2 linked regions of the Oreochromis niloticus genome follow. The protein of the gene in region 1 interacts with the protein of each later gene in a biochemical or structural test. Links are inferred from orthologs where the notes say so. Each region holds a gene or a part of one and is shown on either strand. Other genes may lie near its edges.

Region 1 (8,098 bases):
TAAATGTCAGTGCCCAATAAATGAAACTGATGCAGCGACGGGCCTCTGTGGAGGAGTAGAAAATGTGGACAAGTGTCTGGCTCTTCAAGGCCTACTTAAAAATAACGTCTGAAGCAATGAGTGCATAGTGGCAAGATATCATGATAGTTCAAGTGGCTTATGTGTCTCACATGACATTAACAACACCCACAAAATCCATAATTTAAGTGATTACACGACATCATAAATTTTGAAGGATCCACGAATGGGAAATAGAAATGTAAAACAGGCATTGAGGATTTATTATTCTACAAATTAATGGCACAAAAACTAAATTATGTACAGGTAAGTAAAAGATTCCATGAAAGCTGATGGCTTCCATTTAAGCTTCAATAGTTAACCACATAATACCTAAAAATCATGGAGCAGACAGCTGACTCGGCTCAGCCATCACCAGTCATGTTATTACCTTGAGCTGATAATACAAAGTTGGCTATCAATAAGAAACTCTCAGCCTTTAAATATTAGAGTATAAAGCTGTTTTTCTGGATGCTGAGTGGTGAAGTAACTAACACACTTTAAATGCACAGTTCGCTGCAAACATGACGCAGAGCTCAGGTTTTTTCCTGGACACTGGTGACCCTTTGATTAATGACCAGAACACACTAGCACGACTGCCTGGCACACAGTGAAGGCGGCGAGTCTCTGTCACCTTACTTAACAGAAATCTGAATTTATTTCTGGACATTTTAAAAAACAAGAATGCATGTAATGTTGAAGTAAATAAAATACAGTCTAAAAAGAAAAGGGGCTAAAATATTTTTGATAGAAACCTAGAAATTTTTGCATGCAGGAAAAACCCTGAGAGATAATATATTTATGAATACACAAAAAACCCTTGAAAATACAAGCTGCAAGGTGACTAAACTAGGATATTTTATCACTGAATAACTTAGATTTTGAAAATAAATTTCCACATTAGCTATTCGAGGAAAGAAGTAATACAATTAGTATGGTTTCATTAAGTATATTTTACTCGTCAGTCTCTGACAATTTGTCTACTTAATGAAATACGAAATGCTCTGTACTGAACTTTTATGATAAAATATATTTTGAGTCAGGATAAACTTGACAAATCTGATTCAAACTAGAGATCTTAAAGAAACTTTTGAGAGTCTAAAGCCCTAACTTATCAAAAGACCATACAGCAAATACACGTGGTGAGTTTACTCCCAAGAGTTGTGTCGGTCCTGCTCTAAGTGTGAAGTGATGACACCATATCATAATCCTTACCTGGTCCCTCTATTGCTGTGTGAAGCTCTGTTATGTCTTCTTCGCTGGGATAAATCTTAATGCCCTCGGGTGGATCTGCTGCTAAAGCTGAAACTTCTTTGTAGACCAAGCGAAGAACATGAGGTGGCAAATTCTCCACATTGGAGTTCTGGAGAGACATAACAATGGTTTAGCAACAGCGCTGAGAGGAATGATCAAGCTGTACTCTCACTAAGAATGAGGAAAAATGAAGGCCCTAACTTCACCTCAGGTACTGTTAAGATAAAGCTTTACATTTAGGCCATGTTAGCCAAAGCAGCTGAAAAAAACTCAACAAATATAGGATCACCAGATTCAGAAAAAAGAAAAGAATATCCTTGTGTAGGACAATGGGATGTGTTACTAATGCTGAGAAGTAGACTTAAACAAATTATGCAGTTTTGACATCAAGAATGTCCAGAAAAAAATGAAGCACATTTTATTACGTTTTTTCCCCCCAACTTCCTATAAGCAGAAAAGGGGTCTAAACTTTGTTCTATATTGTTATGTGATAGTTTGTACAATGTACATTTATTTCCCTTTTCTATAGCAACAACTGTCTTACACCATTCAGTGTTACTTCAGCTGACTTGGGGACTTTTTAAAAAAAAATTAGTTTATATTTTCCACATGTTTTGACTTTTTATTTTTAAGCATTCGTTTAATTTCCAGAATGGGTTCGCTCATTTTAGTTTTTCATTTTTAATCTTTGAAAATATTTAGTTGCAGCATTAGACAGTTTATGTTGACAAGCAAACTGGCTAAAGCTAAGGCTATTTCCTCTACATTTTGATTTTCACTTTCTTTTGTATTTCAGTCTACTCAAATATTTATTTCACACCTAGTTTTTGGCTTACTGCAAAAACCTTTGTAGGAATGTCTCAGTAGATGTAAACATTTAACAGCCACGTGTTTACTTTCCTAAACTTGGACTAACAAATAAATATGACACTGCCTCAATATGTTGGTCTGTTAGCACACCGGACACCTGTTCTTTAATATACAGCGAGTGTGAGTGAAGTAAATTTAACATTATCAAAATGTTTATTATGTAGGTATCGACTAATTACACACTAAAGCATAATTTTTTTCTATGGCTTTGATGATTTCGTTTCACACATTTTAATAATGTGTCGATCGGCCATATGGCAGATGAAAAATCTATCATCGGTACCACCTGAGACCATCTACATTTTCCTCTGCGGATCTGCTATCATTTTACACACGCTTTTCTATGTAATGCGCGCTTGCTAGTCATTATCTTCCTAATTTTAACACGTATTTACGTAATGAACATGAGCTGGAGCTCCTCTGGGGGAGCTACGGTTTCATCATCGAGCCAGCGGTCCCCGCACCACGTTAAGCATCCTCACAGAAGTCAGAGGAGTTATAACTTGATCAACTTGAAGTATGCTTTAAAGGCACAACAGTAGATAATTAATATCAGTTAAGCAATCGACGGGCAATGTTAACTTTATGTTACCGTTAGCATACCTAGCCTAGCAAATGCCTCGATTAGAGTTCGTGTTAAAGAAGCTTTTGGTTTAGTGGTAATAGTTTCTATTGTGTATGAAGGTACTTATTAATTACACGAATATACATCTGAAGACATTAAATAAACGCATTAACTTTTAACAAATAGACACAACCGCCCATAAAAATCGAAAAATAAAAAAAACTCGACAGCTAAAATCGGTTAGAGCTAGCAGTGTCTCCCATTAGCCGTTAGCTAAGAGGTTGATCTTACCATCTTCAAAAAGGAGCTCTGCTTGGGTGGTGGGTGTCTGGCTGGTGTCAGATATAAAGAACCGTTTCTAATAGAGTCTAGAGGAGTGAAAAACTATATTCGATGAAAACTTAGCCGGCTGGCTGATGATCGCCGTTCTTCTTTTCTTCTCTACGTTGACACAGGAACAAAAATACGATCCTCAGTTGAACCTTAAAGCACGTACCAATGAGCGGCATAGTGGTGTGAAACGTCAGAAGAGACAAACCAATCGAAATGCAGCGATAGAGCTGCGTCACGACAAAAAGCCCTATCAGTCACATAGAGTGAAAAGTACATCTGATACACGCCAGCGATAGGTCCATTTAAAAAACTCTCAAATCTAATCGATACTGAAAGATCAGCATCAGCTACATTGAACACCAAAATTAAGAAACGCCCACTGTTTAAACCAGCCTTCCTAATTTATTCAATAGATAAATACTTAACTTGATAAGCGGGATCACTTTTGTTACGTTGTATGATAGGTTTCCTTTAATGTTGGTTAATTAAGTTAACTCTAATCTAACAATAACTGACTAAAATTACACACACAGTTTTTTTCGTATTCGTGTACGACAGAAACGTGCCTGAGCAATACACCACCAAAAATAACAACACAATTAACATTTATTCACCAGACACACTTTTAGGTGACCTACACCTTGTTAGTACTGCTCTGGAGCCATTTTTGCCTTCAGAACTATTTTAAGTCTTCATGACATTCAACAAGGTGCTGGAAACATTCCTCAGAAATTTTGGTTCAGATTGACATGATAGCATCACACAATAGAAGCAGATTTGCTGCACATGGCTGCACATCCATGATGTGAATGTGCCTTTCCACCACAGCCCAAAGGTGCTCTATTAGACTGAGGTAAACTGGCTGTGGAGGCCATTTGAGCACAGTGAACTAATTTTCTTGTTCAAGACTAGGGCTGGGTATTGATAAGATTTTCACGATTCCGATTCCATTTTCGATTCTGTTTAACGATTCGATTCTTTATCGATTCTCTTATCGATTCTTTTTAAAAAAGGAGAACACTAAGGTCGAATAGCTTAGAACTTTGTTTTATATCTTCTCTTTGAACAAGATAGAAATTTAGGAGTAACATGGCCTTACAAAACCAACAGTGAGATCTTAAGAGATCCACAGCCTACGGCTCTTCAATGGGGTGTCACAGGGTCCCCAGGAAAAAAAATTGTTATTGCTACAGAAGAATATTTACTTTATTATTTTACATTTACAAAGTTTAACATAAATTATTCTGTAGCAATTACACAAGAATATCCAGTAATGTCCCTGCCTACAATTAAACACATTCACTTACGGAAAATCGGGGGCATCTGCTGTGGCAAATGGGTGCAAGCCTTTGACCACAAAAGGCTGCTCGGTGACATTCGTCTATCCTGGCCTGAAAGGAGACACTACCGGTAGACTGCAGCGAGAACTGCCAGCATCTGAGCCAGCCAGACTCTGTCTCTCTCATCATGGTCGCCTAAATGCAGCGCACAGTAATGGCAGGTTTTGTAATAAGGCAGATCGCGCTAACATAATATGCACTGTTAGCTGATTATTTACCTGCCGTATTAACGGGAGAGGACGTGCAAACATTACCGCTGCTGCTGGGTTGAGATTCACGAGTCCGGAGCGGAATTAAAAACATGACATTCATTTAAGGTTATCGCGTGTTTTGTGAGCAAACGCTTTTGCATATTCGTAGTGTTTCCTCCCTTAAATTAAATATCTACTTTGCAAGTATTGCAAGTTGCCCTGTTGTCATCCGTTCTCGTAAAGTATAATCAAACTTTTGAGCGTTTGAGCCGCTTAGGCGCCCTGCCAGGTAAATGACGCTCCGCAACGTGGTGACGTCATTCAGGGCGACTGGAATCGATAAGGGAATCGTTTGCAAAAATGGCAAACAATTCCAAGGAATTGAAACAGTGGGAACCGGTTCTCAACAAGAACCGGTTTTCGATACCCATCCCTATTCAAGACACCAGTTTGAGATTATTTGAGGTTTGTGACATGGTGTGTTATCCTGTTGGAAGCAGCCATCAGAAAATATGCACACTGTGGTCATGAGGGGATGGACATAATCACAGGTAGGCTCAGTTGGTACCCAAAATTGGCCAGGAAAATGTCCTCACATTATTACAACACCAGCAGTAACCCTGACCATTGAGACAAGGCAGGATGGATTTGTACTTTCGTGTTTAATGTTTATAGCAGAAAGACTCTGGGCAACATTTTCCCGTATTTGATTGTCCAATCTTTGTGAGCCTGCATTAATTGTAGCCTCAGTTTCCTGTTCTTACCTGGCAGGAGTGGCACCCAGTATGATCTTCTGTAACGGTAGCCCTGTAGCTTTAAGAATGTTGTGCTTTCAGAAATGCTCTTCTGCATGCTTTTGTTAGAATAAGTGGTTTATTTGAGTTGCTATTGCTTTCCTATCTGCTCGAAAAAGTCTGGCTGTTGTCCTCTGACCCCTGACATTTGAGCATTTGAGAACTGTTGATCACTAGATATTTTCTCTGTTTTTGGATCTTCTGTAACCCTACAGATGGTTGTGTGGGAAAATCCCAGTAGATCAGCAGTTTCTGAAATACTCAGACCAGTCTGTCTGACACCACCAATGCATGTTCAATGCCATGTTCAAAGTCACTTAAATCACCCTTCTTCCGCATACTGATGCTCGATCAGACAGGTCATCATGACCAAATCTTGACCTTTTTGCCAAAATTGTCCCACTGTCTATAATCAAGTTTAAAGAGGTGATTCAGTGACTCCAAAACACTGCCATATTTTATGAGATAGATAGATAGATAGTTGTATATAGCATTTGTATTCTATTTTTATCTTATTGTATATTTTATTCTATTTTATTCTACTGTATATAGTATTTTATTTTATTCTATTCTGTACAGTTGTGTACTGTATTTATTCTTATTTTATTTTATTCTAATTTTTGCTTCATAACTTTTGCACTGTCCACTTCCTGCTGTGACAAAACAAATTTCCCACGTGTGGGACTAATAAAGGTTATCTTATCTTATCTTATAGATAGATAGATAGATAGATAGATAGATAGATAGATAGATAGATAGATAGATAGATAGATAGATAGATAGATAGATAGATAGATAGATAGATAGATAGATAGATTTAAATATTTAAGCATAACAAGTCACCTTTACAGTAGTAGGAGTTTATGTAAATAAGTGTAGGAGTCATTTGGGTTGATACCTTATGTATGCCGCTAAAGGTCACTTTTTGAGTTTTTTGTTGTGGAAATAAAGAATCTAAAGGACAAGATGAGTAAGGCTGGAGTTATTGGACTGTATCAAGTTAAATATATTCATGCATACCAGTGACATCCCTGTCATTGAGTACCTCAGTGGCTTCAAGCGTAGGCTTAGCCTCTACAGTAAGACTAAGCTTAGGATTTTGTCACCCTAACAGTTACAGTAATTAACAAATCTATTAGATTACTTGCCATAAAGTCTGTAAAAATATTTCAAAAATCTGTTTAAAACTAAAAATGATTTTGTTATTCTATTAGACACATTAAACAAAATTGATTTTCCTAAACTGGACTTCCATCCAACCATTAAAATTTTTCCTGCACAACTGCAAATAAATACATTTATCTCAATAAAAAATAGACAGATTTAACATTTTTTCTGCAAAAATGTAAATTTGAAAATTTACAGTTTTCACTTTATGGATTTGCTTGCTTCCATTTTAAATTGTTTTAAGTTCTAACTTTCTTTTATAATAGGGAAAATTTTTATTAAGAGCTAATAATAATTTGCTAATAATTTCAGAATACATACATTTTTCGACTCCTTCCTTTAGGGGTCGCCACATCAGATCATCTGCCTCCATTTCACCCTGCCCCTAACATCCTCCTGTGACACACCAACCCTTTGCATGTCCTCCTTCCCTACATCCATGAATCTTCGTGGTGGACTTCCTTTTTTCCTCCTGCCTGGCAGCTGCACATTCAATATCCTTTGTCCAATACATCCACCATCCTTCCACAGCACATCCCCGAACCATTTGAGCCTTCCCTCTCCAGCTCAGCCTCCTGTCTCTTTGTCAGTAGCACCGTCTCCAAACCAGACATGACAGCAGGTGTCACAACTATCTTGTAAGCCTTTTTTTTTTTACTCTTGCTGCTATCCTTCTGTCACAAATCACCCCCCACACTCATCTCCACCACTGTCTGTTCTTAACCTCTCTTATGCACTGTTTGTTGTCTTGGATGTGACCCCAGGTATTTAAACTCATCCAACGTTGCAACCTCTGCTCCTTGAAACTTTACCTTTTCACCTCTCTAGTCTAGTTTAGTCATACTTCTACTGACTTTCTTCAGCTCTTCAACCTACTCCTGGTTCTTACTACAAATCACAATGTCGTCTGCAAACATCATTGTCCACTATTTCAGAATAGAATAAGGCAGTCATGTAGAAATCTCAAGTCTCACCATACAATGCATCAAAGCCTTAGTCAGGCAGGCTTTGAAAACAACATTTCCTACATATTTTCATGTATTTATTTATTTCGTTTATTTCAGTTTGGTGGTTGTACAACTTAATTTCATTTAGTTATCTTTTTCCTAGAATATAGTTGTTGTTGTTTTTTCGAGTCCGGATATGTACTTTTAGTTTTTAGTTGAGGCTTAGCTCACTTCATTAACTTCAGTCAGTATCACCGCAGTCAGCAGTAACCAGGCTCGTCACTAGGGGGCGCTTCAACATCAGCTCAGTGATTAGACGCGGGGAAGAAGTGTGTGTGTGTGACACCATTGGTGAGTTGAAGATGAGTTAATCCTGTCATTATTATTACTTTCCTCTATTCAGCATAATTAAACTGTTAAAGTGGCGGGGTTTCCAGCCCTGCTGTGAAGGACGCATACGGACGACAAAAAAAACCCCCAACACCATCTCAACAACAAAGGCTCAGCTTCCGGTTTCTGGATGTAGCTGTCAGGCTCCACCACCATTTAAACGGGGCATCGCTTTATCAGCAGGTCGGTA
Region 2 (8,159 bases), on another chromosome or scaffold:
CGTTCAGAGGATCCCTGTTCAGCTGTTTTCTGGTACCTTCTCCACACACTTGAGACAGCAGGTTAGCAGGTGGACTCGCAATGGCTTCTGTTTCCTAACTGAACAGATTAATATCCCTGAAGTTAAAAGTGATTTTGCCTTTTACAACCTCAGACGCCATGCAGGATGGTCATGCACTGAGGTTATTACAGTTAACTGCAATTAAAATAGAAACTAAAATCAGCTGAAACTAAAAACAAACATCATAGTTAACTGAAATAAAATTAAAGGATTCATGCCATATATCACATTAATATATTAATTTTTGAGTCCTCGCAAAAACTTACAAAAGTGACTGAAATGAACAAATAAACCAACAATATAAAATAAAAGGTTTTAAAAGTTTTAAAAATTTCAATACAATCAGCTTTTTAAAAGAATCTAAACTGGGATGACCACATGACATGTTCATGTCCTCCACAGTTTCCTCTAGTTACTACGTGAAACCGAACTTAAAAAAAAAAATTACAGGACAAAAACTAAAATATAAAACTAAATTACTTTAGCCAGGTGAGAATATGGAGCAAATCTAGAATGACTGACTGTAATTTTTCAGTACAAACATTTTATTAATCATTGATGACAAAAATACAGGCTCCTGAGTGAGGAGTGAAATAAAAAGCACTGGAAGGAACGGTCAGTGCAAATCATTACACAGTGATCATGTTGGACCACCTTTGTTCTTGATGAAACACCTGGATCCGGATGGGAGTCATCTCCCGCCACAGCACAGCAGGGGTCACTGAATAGTTTGAGGATGAAAATGATGTGAATCATCTGCTACGGCCTTCACAGTCCCCAGATCTAAGCTCATCTACAGAAATGTCTCCAACCCCAGTGTGTCAGTAAATAAGAGGATATCTTCTGAAAGTATGGTGTGTAGTGGCTCCAGCAGAGATGCAGACTTAGAGAATAATTGTTAAAGAGCACTTAAGTTATTTAAGACCTTATTTAAACAATTTATGTTTTTGGAGACGTCCAAGAGTTAAGGGATAAATTGAATAGAAGATATTTAATCAGCATTGTTTTGATAACCTTGTAAATTTTTTTTCCATTTTTATCCAGACAGGTTCTGACATATGAAAAGCTACAGTCTTTGTTTTACAGTGAAAAGCTACACAAACAAACAAGAAATAATACATCAGTGTGGAGCTGCCATGAAATCAAAGTCAAACTTCACGATCCAAGGAAATAATCAGCCAGACCTTCAAGACAGACTCAATACAATGCATGTTTTTTTTCTTATTTAATTTAATCACAAATCCTTACCAGTAGAATAAAACATATTCAGCGTGTGTTCTGCATTAGTAGAAGTACCAACACAGATTTATTTACAGTCTACATAAAAGTCTGTGAGCGAGCCTTTCGTCTCTGTGGCAGCGACGCCTCCACAGGTTCACTCCTTGAACTTCCACTCCTGCCGGCACATGGGGCACTGCTGCTGGACCTGCTGTGAGTTCAGCCACTTCAGGATGCAGTGCATGTGGAAACAGTGGGAGCACTGACCCCAGACCAGCGGGCAGTCATCCCCAGGCACTTTGCCTGCAAAACAAACAAACAAACACATTAGAGATACTGGGCAGGATTTTGCATTCAGTTGCTGATTAGCAGATACTTGTATCCTCTTGTAATACTAAATGAGGATAAAACAAGTGTTTCCCCACACAGACCACTTAAGTATATTTAAGAACTCATTTCATCCATTTGTGTGAGCAGCGCCATTCCCCGATCAATTTAGGCATTTGCTCTTATTTTGAAAGTTGAGTTGCTGCTAACTAGCTACCCGTGACCTTTCCCGTGTTGCCTTTTCTCCAGTGAGTGGCTCACAGACCTAGCTGCTGTTGTGGCGGTCTTCAATATCAACCTAAAGAACCTACGGACAATACTACAAGACACTGCAGCTGGAGTTGATCTCCAAGATGGGTCACTGGAGCAGCCATCCATCCATTTTCCATCGCAACTTATCTGTGATAAGTGGTGGTGGAAGCTCTTTATCCTAACTCGGGGCCTCCTCCCAGTTGGACATGCCTGAAACACCACCAGAACAACCTCAAGTGTCTCCTTTCGATCTAGAGGAGCTGAGGTTCTGCTTTGAGCGTCTCCTGACTAAAGTGCTCATCCTGTCTGTAAGGCTGAGCCCAGACAAGCTTCACAAGAAGTTAATCTCTCCCACAAATATCCCAAATTAATATCTTTCAGACGCCTCTCACAGCGACACCTTTTCCTTCATGCTACCGTGTCAACAGCGTCTGTGCTGTTAACAACCAGGAAGGTTCCTCTCCTCTTTAGTCCAGAGGATGTGGTGACCCAGTACAATTTCAAATTTCAATTCATCTGACCTAAGAACAGTTTTTCTACTTTGCCTCGGTCCATTTTGAATGAGCCCAGAGGAGATGTTGATCATGTTCACATACAGTTTGCTCTTTGGATGACACAAACCTGGATTTGTGGATATTTGTGGTAAAACTGTCTTCACTGACAGTGATTTCTGGAAATGTTATTGAGCCCTTGCAGTGATTTCCATGACAAAATCGCGTCTGTTTTAAATGCAGTACAGCCCTAAGATCACAGGTATCCTATTGATTTTTGCCCTTAACCCCTTCACACAGATACTATGTGCTGTAGACGACGCGATATTCTGAGGCTTTACAATTTTATTTTGAGGAACATTTTTCTAAAATTGTTCCACAGCTTGTAGAAAAGTTTTTTTGTAGAGTGGTGATTTTTTCCCGTCTCTGCCATCGTTCTCACTACTTAGTTTGTACAAACGGGAGGGGCAGGATAAATTTGGCATATTGTCGATCGGATAATACGTAAAGCGTTATATGTTTTAGAAGCAAAACCACCAAAATAATAATCTTGTTTTGTTATGTTTGCATCTTTAATGCGGACACTCGTTACTTAATGCTATGTTATTAGCTCTGATACTCACAGTCAGGACAGCAGCCGTTGAAGGCCATCCTGCAGATCCCACAGTTGTCATCGTTGGCCACCCAGAGCCAGGAGGCAACCCCGTTCCACTGTTTGATTTTCACCTTCATCCTGCGGATCTGACAGGAGCACAAAAGCATCACACCGGAGCAGCTAACGCTAGCACGAAAGCTAATGTTGACACACGATTTCTGAATATTAATGTTCAGCAACACGTTCTTACGTACAAGGCAGCGACCACCGTCTCCTTCAGGTATCTCACACTCGTTAGGTTAGTCCGTTTCTTAGCAAAAAACAAATCATTTAGAGCTTGTTTGACTGAAGTCTACAACATAAAAGTGATGTTTTAGCAACCCGGGCAAAAATCGTCTCTTCTTCTTCTGTTGAAAGACTGCCAGGCTATGTCCCGGGATGGCGCATGCTGCCCTCTACAGTCGGATGGGGGGAAACCTCAAAATAAAAGAGCACCAAAGATCTGATTTTAAAGAAAACAATCCTGACATCATCAGGTTAGTAACACAAAGGAGCTCCTGCCAGATGTTTCACGAGCTCTGTAACGATTTTGAAAAGGTGATGCTGTCATTCTAATGTTTACACTTGCTTATTTTTTGACAAACATACTTATTTTAATGAACCTTTATTCTATCATTGACCATTTGAGGCAATCTCATTCATTTGGACCTACCTGATATTTTCTATAATATAAGAAATAATAACAATGATTTTTTAAGGGGCTAAACAGAATTGAAATTGAAATATTTGCAGGATGGACACTTGTACAACAATAAATCTGTAATGTGCACATAAAAGCAGCACATTTGGAAATTAATAAATAAATCCTTATTGTTAATGTTTAAAACAACTAGTTTTCGCAGCAACATCAAAACAGACAAGAGCATGAATATGAAAATAAAAGGATACAAACAGCGAGGTAGTATATGCAAAATAATAGTGCATGATGATTATAATATACAGTGCAAAAAATGAAGAATGAGAGGGACAGGGGTTAATTCACTTGTAGTTCTTGGGGTAGGGGTTTATTGCAGTAGAATAGGAGAAGAACTGGGGGGATGTATTTGACTTGCCTGTGGGAAGAAGCTGTTTTGTAATTTGTAATCTATTGTAATCTGTTAGAGCTCAATCAGAAGCAGAACCATTTCCAGAGGACTGTGGCATTGCTTCAGGTGATGTTGAGGATGTATCCATTAAACTTAGTTTTTTTTGCACTCATCCTGCGTAAATCTCACTCAGGGATGGTAGTATCACACGTCTGGAATGACCCAAGCAGGTCTTTTCCGTTTTTGATGAACCACACCGTGCAGCAATAGATGATGAGGCCCGCTATTGTTGACTGAGAGAAGCTGGTCAGCAGGTGATGAGAGAGGATCTTTAACTTCCTAAGGATATAAAGCCTTTCCCCACCCGATGGGAGATGTGTGGTGTGGGTGAGATCGACCAGGATGTCCACACCAAGGAACTTAAAGCTCTCCACTTCCTCCACCTGTACGCCTGGAGCAGAGTGCTCGGTATGCTTCAGGTTTCTTAAGTCTACATTGCTTCTCTGCTTTTTGCTGTGTTTACGTCCAGATTATTGTGACAACATCATACAGTCAGAGGCTGAACTCGTCACCTGCCATCATCAGCAAATTTGACAGTGGTGTTGGTTTGGTGTATGTGCAGTCATGGGCTAAGAGCGAGCTGAGGACAAATATGCACACATACATGAAAACCTTGACACGTCTCCATTTTGTTTTGTTTTCTTTACAAGCAATTGTAATGCTAGATGTCCACTAGATGTAGTTGGTCTGCAATCCAGTGTGCTGAGGTAATGCTCACACTTACAGCACTGGAAGCACATCTGGTCTTCCTTCTCCCGGACATTTTTGTGTACACTTTCTATTCCTGCATCTTGTTAAAATTTTATGTATCCGTTTCTATTTTTTCTAACATTATTTTTACATTAAGGGAAACAAGCACCATTTCCATTTTACAGAATCTGAGATGATCAACTTTCAGTGATGAAATGCAGGTCACTCAGTGCAGAGAACCTTTGATCATTAGTGGAGTTGGAGATGCAGCATGAGGCCCGTATTTGTAACTTCACAGATCACCATGTCACTAACAGATGACTGCAAGGAATGTAAAAGCAATTTTTAGTTCTAAGTAATAAAAACATTTTAATACAGGACTTAAATAACCGTGACAGGAGTCTGCAGTTTCTTATAATTCAAGTTTAATGCTGAAAAACGTAAAGCCACCATTTTCTCATTAATCCACACATCCTTTTTACACAATATCTCACACAAAGGTAAAGAGAAGATATGCAAAGATGAACAGGGAGCAGAGAGACTGATGAATGTGATGAACAGTCACGACAGACAGTTATAGCCCTCATTTTTCAGTGAGATGTTGGTGAGAGGTGCTCACCCTCCAACAGCTAAAGTCAGAGGCAGGTGAAATTTCTGGTGTTCAAGAGAATGAACTGAAATGGAAATGAAAACCCATCGCATCTGAGCACACTTACTTATGCCTACAGCTTCAATTCAAAAAAGGTCCACTCTGCTTTCTAAGATCTACACACAAAACTGGAGTGTGAAAGTGTGAGAATAGTAAAAGGAATATAAAGCAGTAGTCAGGTTTGAACTGTTGCCTCATCAGTCGAACCTGTGAGAAGATGAAGATCAAATCGCCTGAAGGAATAACCAGGTGAAGTCAAGTGTGCCGTCTTAGAGCAGGAAGAGAGAAGAGTGGAGAAACACATTTTACAGGCATCTTCCTCCCCCCACTGTAATTAACATTCACCCCTTTACCCCATCACACACCCATAGCCCTCATCACGAAGAGGGCCACTCAGTAAAACAATTCATGTTATTGCAGTTAATGACATGTAGATACCACAAGTTAACCAGTAACTATTAAAAAAAAAGGAAAAAAAGAAGCAGTTTTGTGTATCAAAAACAGGCAGGGTCCTTATTTTTTTTTTTTTCGTAGGAGGGAAAACAAATATGAACACACAGATGCCACAGCTGTCTTGCTCACGAGGTCTGAGCATTTCCTGTCATCCAGTCCTATAAATAACGCCAAATTTTTGTGCTTCTTTTTGATGTTTCAGTGAAAGAAATGCTAAAACCAACTTTCCACAGTTGTTTTACCGTTACAAATGTCTTTAATTTGGTATACCAAAAAGTAGTCCCGACTGTCTTATATCAGCTAAAGGAGATTCATATTTTATTTATCATTAAATATTTGATCTGATATTCGGTCCAAGTGCTCCAACATGCTCTAGAAAGACTTGAGTCATGTGAGCTACAGAAACCTACAGAGCTGCTTTCAGGGGGACTTGTTTTGGTTAAAGAGTCCCAGAATAAAGACAGACTGCAGGAGTGAGAGAAAGACCAACACTGGCTCATCTGCAGCTCTCTTTTCAAGTCAAACTTTGACGGGACAATAAACACGTTAAAGTGATGCAGTAATCCTGTTGCTTTTTACAGCAGAGTATCACAAAGAAGCAGCTGCCGGACTGTAACATTAGATTAAGCATTATAACTGTTTCAGCACATGTATCATAAACAAAGTTTTAACGTTTGTAACCCAAACTGCTCGAAAATCTGTTGAAAATTCAGCGAGGTACAATGATCCGTGATCGTGTGCAGATGTGCGCTGCCCGAGGAACATGGCGCTGCGTGAAGTCATTACAGTGAAGAGCAACAACCAGTGTGGCATCTGTGTGCATATATGTATGAGGAAACCCCCCCCCTCTTATTTTTTTGCCGTTGTTGTCAGCTGCACTGTGTAACCATGGCAACAGCACCCAATGACTCTTGGCAAAGCTGAACATTTCTGCCCTCGACGGGGAGTCTGATCTGTGCGAAGTCATCAATGCTTATCAACCAAATAGAACACGTTTTAAAAAAGAAAATGAAATGTTCATTCGACTCACGATCGCTTGTCTATTACAGTGGTGACTAAGTGATGCTTACAAAGGCTAAAATGGTATTATTCATTGACACATGGCTCTTAAAATGGCTATATCTTAAATCTTAAATAAGAGATCCGTAAACCCAATCACCGCGTGAGCATGCGGCAGGCCGCCATGCCACTTCACCCATCAATTGTCTCCAAAACACAAACAAACCAACACTAGCACTTGTACAGTATCGATGTGGTCTACTGGCGCGCTGTCAAATGATAAATCACAAAGAAACATTCACCCCTAAAGCACACTGAAATCTACATCACTCTGGAAAAGTAACGATGGCAGTTCCACCCAACTGACCACAACCGTCCAAATTCAGGCATTTCATTGGTTAGCAAGCGCCAGCCAATCAGTAGCACATTCACCAATCAGTGACAAGGCATTTCCTTGACTGCTTCATTTAACTTGAGTTCCTCAAATGTGCAGACGCTTGACAGAAAGCAAAGTAACTGCGGCCGTTCCACGTTAAGATTATTTTTTTATATATATTTTCAAAGCATGAGGTAGGGATGCACCGATGAATCAGCCAAGTATCAGCTGATAAGATGGCGTTACTGACTTTTGCGCTGGCTAAATGTTCAAAAACTGTTCCATGAAGAGCTAAAACATGCATTTTTTTTTTAAATAAAGTTTTTTTTTTTCTTTTCATTTCACCTAGAACAAAAACAAAATAAATACTGAAAAAAAAAATGTCAGTATCAGTGCTGGATTACGGCCTAGTATTTCACAGTCAGTGCATCCCTTACTACGAGGACAGAACACGTGTCGAGGAGAAAATCTGGCAAATTATTTTTGTTTCTCTCCTGACAAAATGTCTGTAGACAAGAAACGGTGGTGCCACAGAATTCAGCCGTTTACCGACTCGAGTTTGCCCGTCTGTCTGCCTGTACACAAGAAAAAGTTCATCTGCAATCAGCACCCGTGATGACGGTGGCCCAGCGGTGCAGCGCAGACATAAAAAGAAAAAGACAACATTTCACTGCAGAGGAAGAGGTAATGACATTGTTGTTTTTGAAATACCAGAACCAAAGTCAAAGGACAATCATGATGTACTTTTTGACACGACTTTAAAATGTCCTTTCAAACCCTGAAAGCACACCGAGATAACAGGGCGGTGTGTGCATGCTGGTTAGGACTGTAGCCAGAGTGTAAACATTTCTTAAGTAAAGTATGGCCTGTGTTGTATAACCAAAGATAAAAAGGCAGCAGTCGC

What was found.
Region 2: the proteins of ube2s (region 1) and anapc11 form a complex in vitro, tested with the Homo sapiens proteins (31 studies listed by BioGRID). The link is inferred for Oreochromis niloticus from reciprocal best matches to the Homo sapiens genes UBE2S and ANAPC11.

What each region holds. Positions count from the first base shown.
Region 1 is NC_031976.2:22,314,462-22,322,559, reverse strand, and holds the start of ube2s (ubiquitin-conjugating enzyme E2 S), read right to left. Parts: upstream 3,268-8,098; 5' UTR 3,041-3,267; coding exon 3,038-3,040; intron 1,421-3,037; coding exon 1,273-1,420; intron 1-1,272. UniProt on the Homo sapiens protein: Accepts ubiquitin from the E1 complex and catalyzes its covalent attachment to other proteins. Catalyzes 'Lys-11'-linked polyubiquitination.
Region 2 is NC_031971.2:37,631,449-37,639,607, reverse strand, and holds anapc11 (anaphase-promoting complex subunit 11), read right to left. Parts: upstream 3,357-8,159; 5' UTR 3,198-3,356; exon of another isoform or gene 3,194-3,197; intron 3,090-3,193; 5' UTR 3,081-3,089; coding exon 2,972-3,080; intron 1,582-2,971; coding exon 1,436-1,581; 3' UTR 1,033-1,435; downstream 1-1,032. UniProt on the Homo sapiens protein: Together with the cullin protein ANAPC2, constitutes the catalytic component of the anaphase promoting complex/cyclosome (APC/C), a cell cycle-regulated E3 ubiquitin ligase that controls progression through mitosis and the G1 phase of the cell cycle.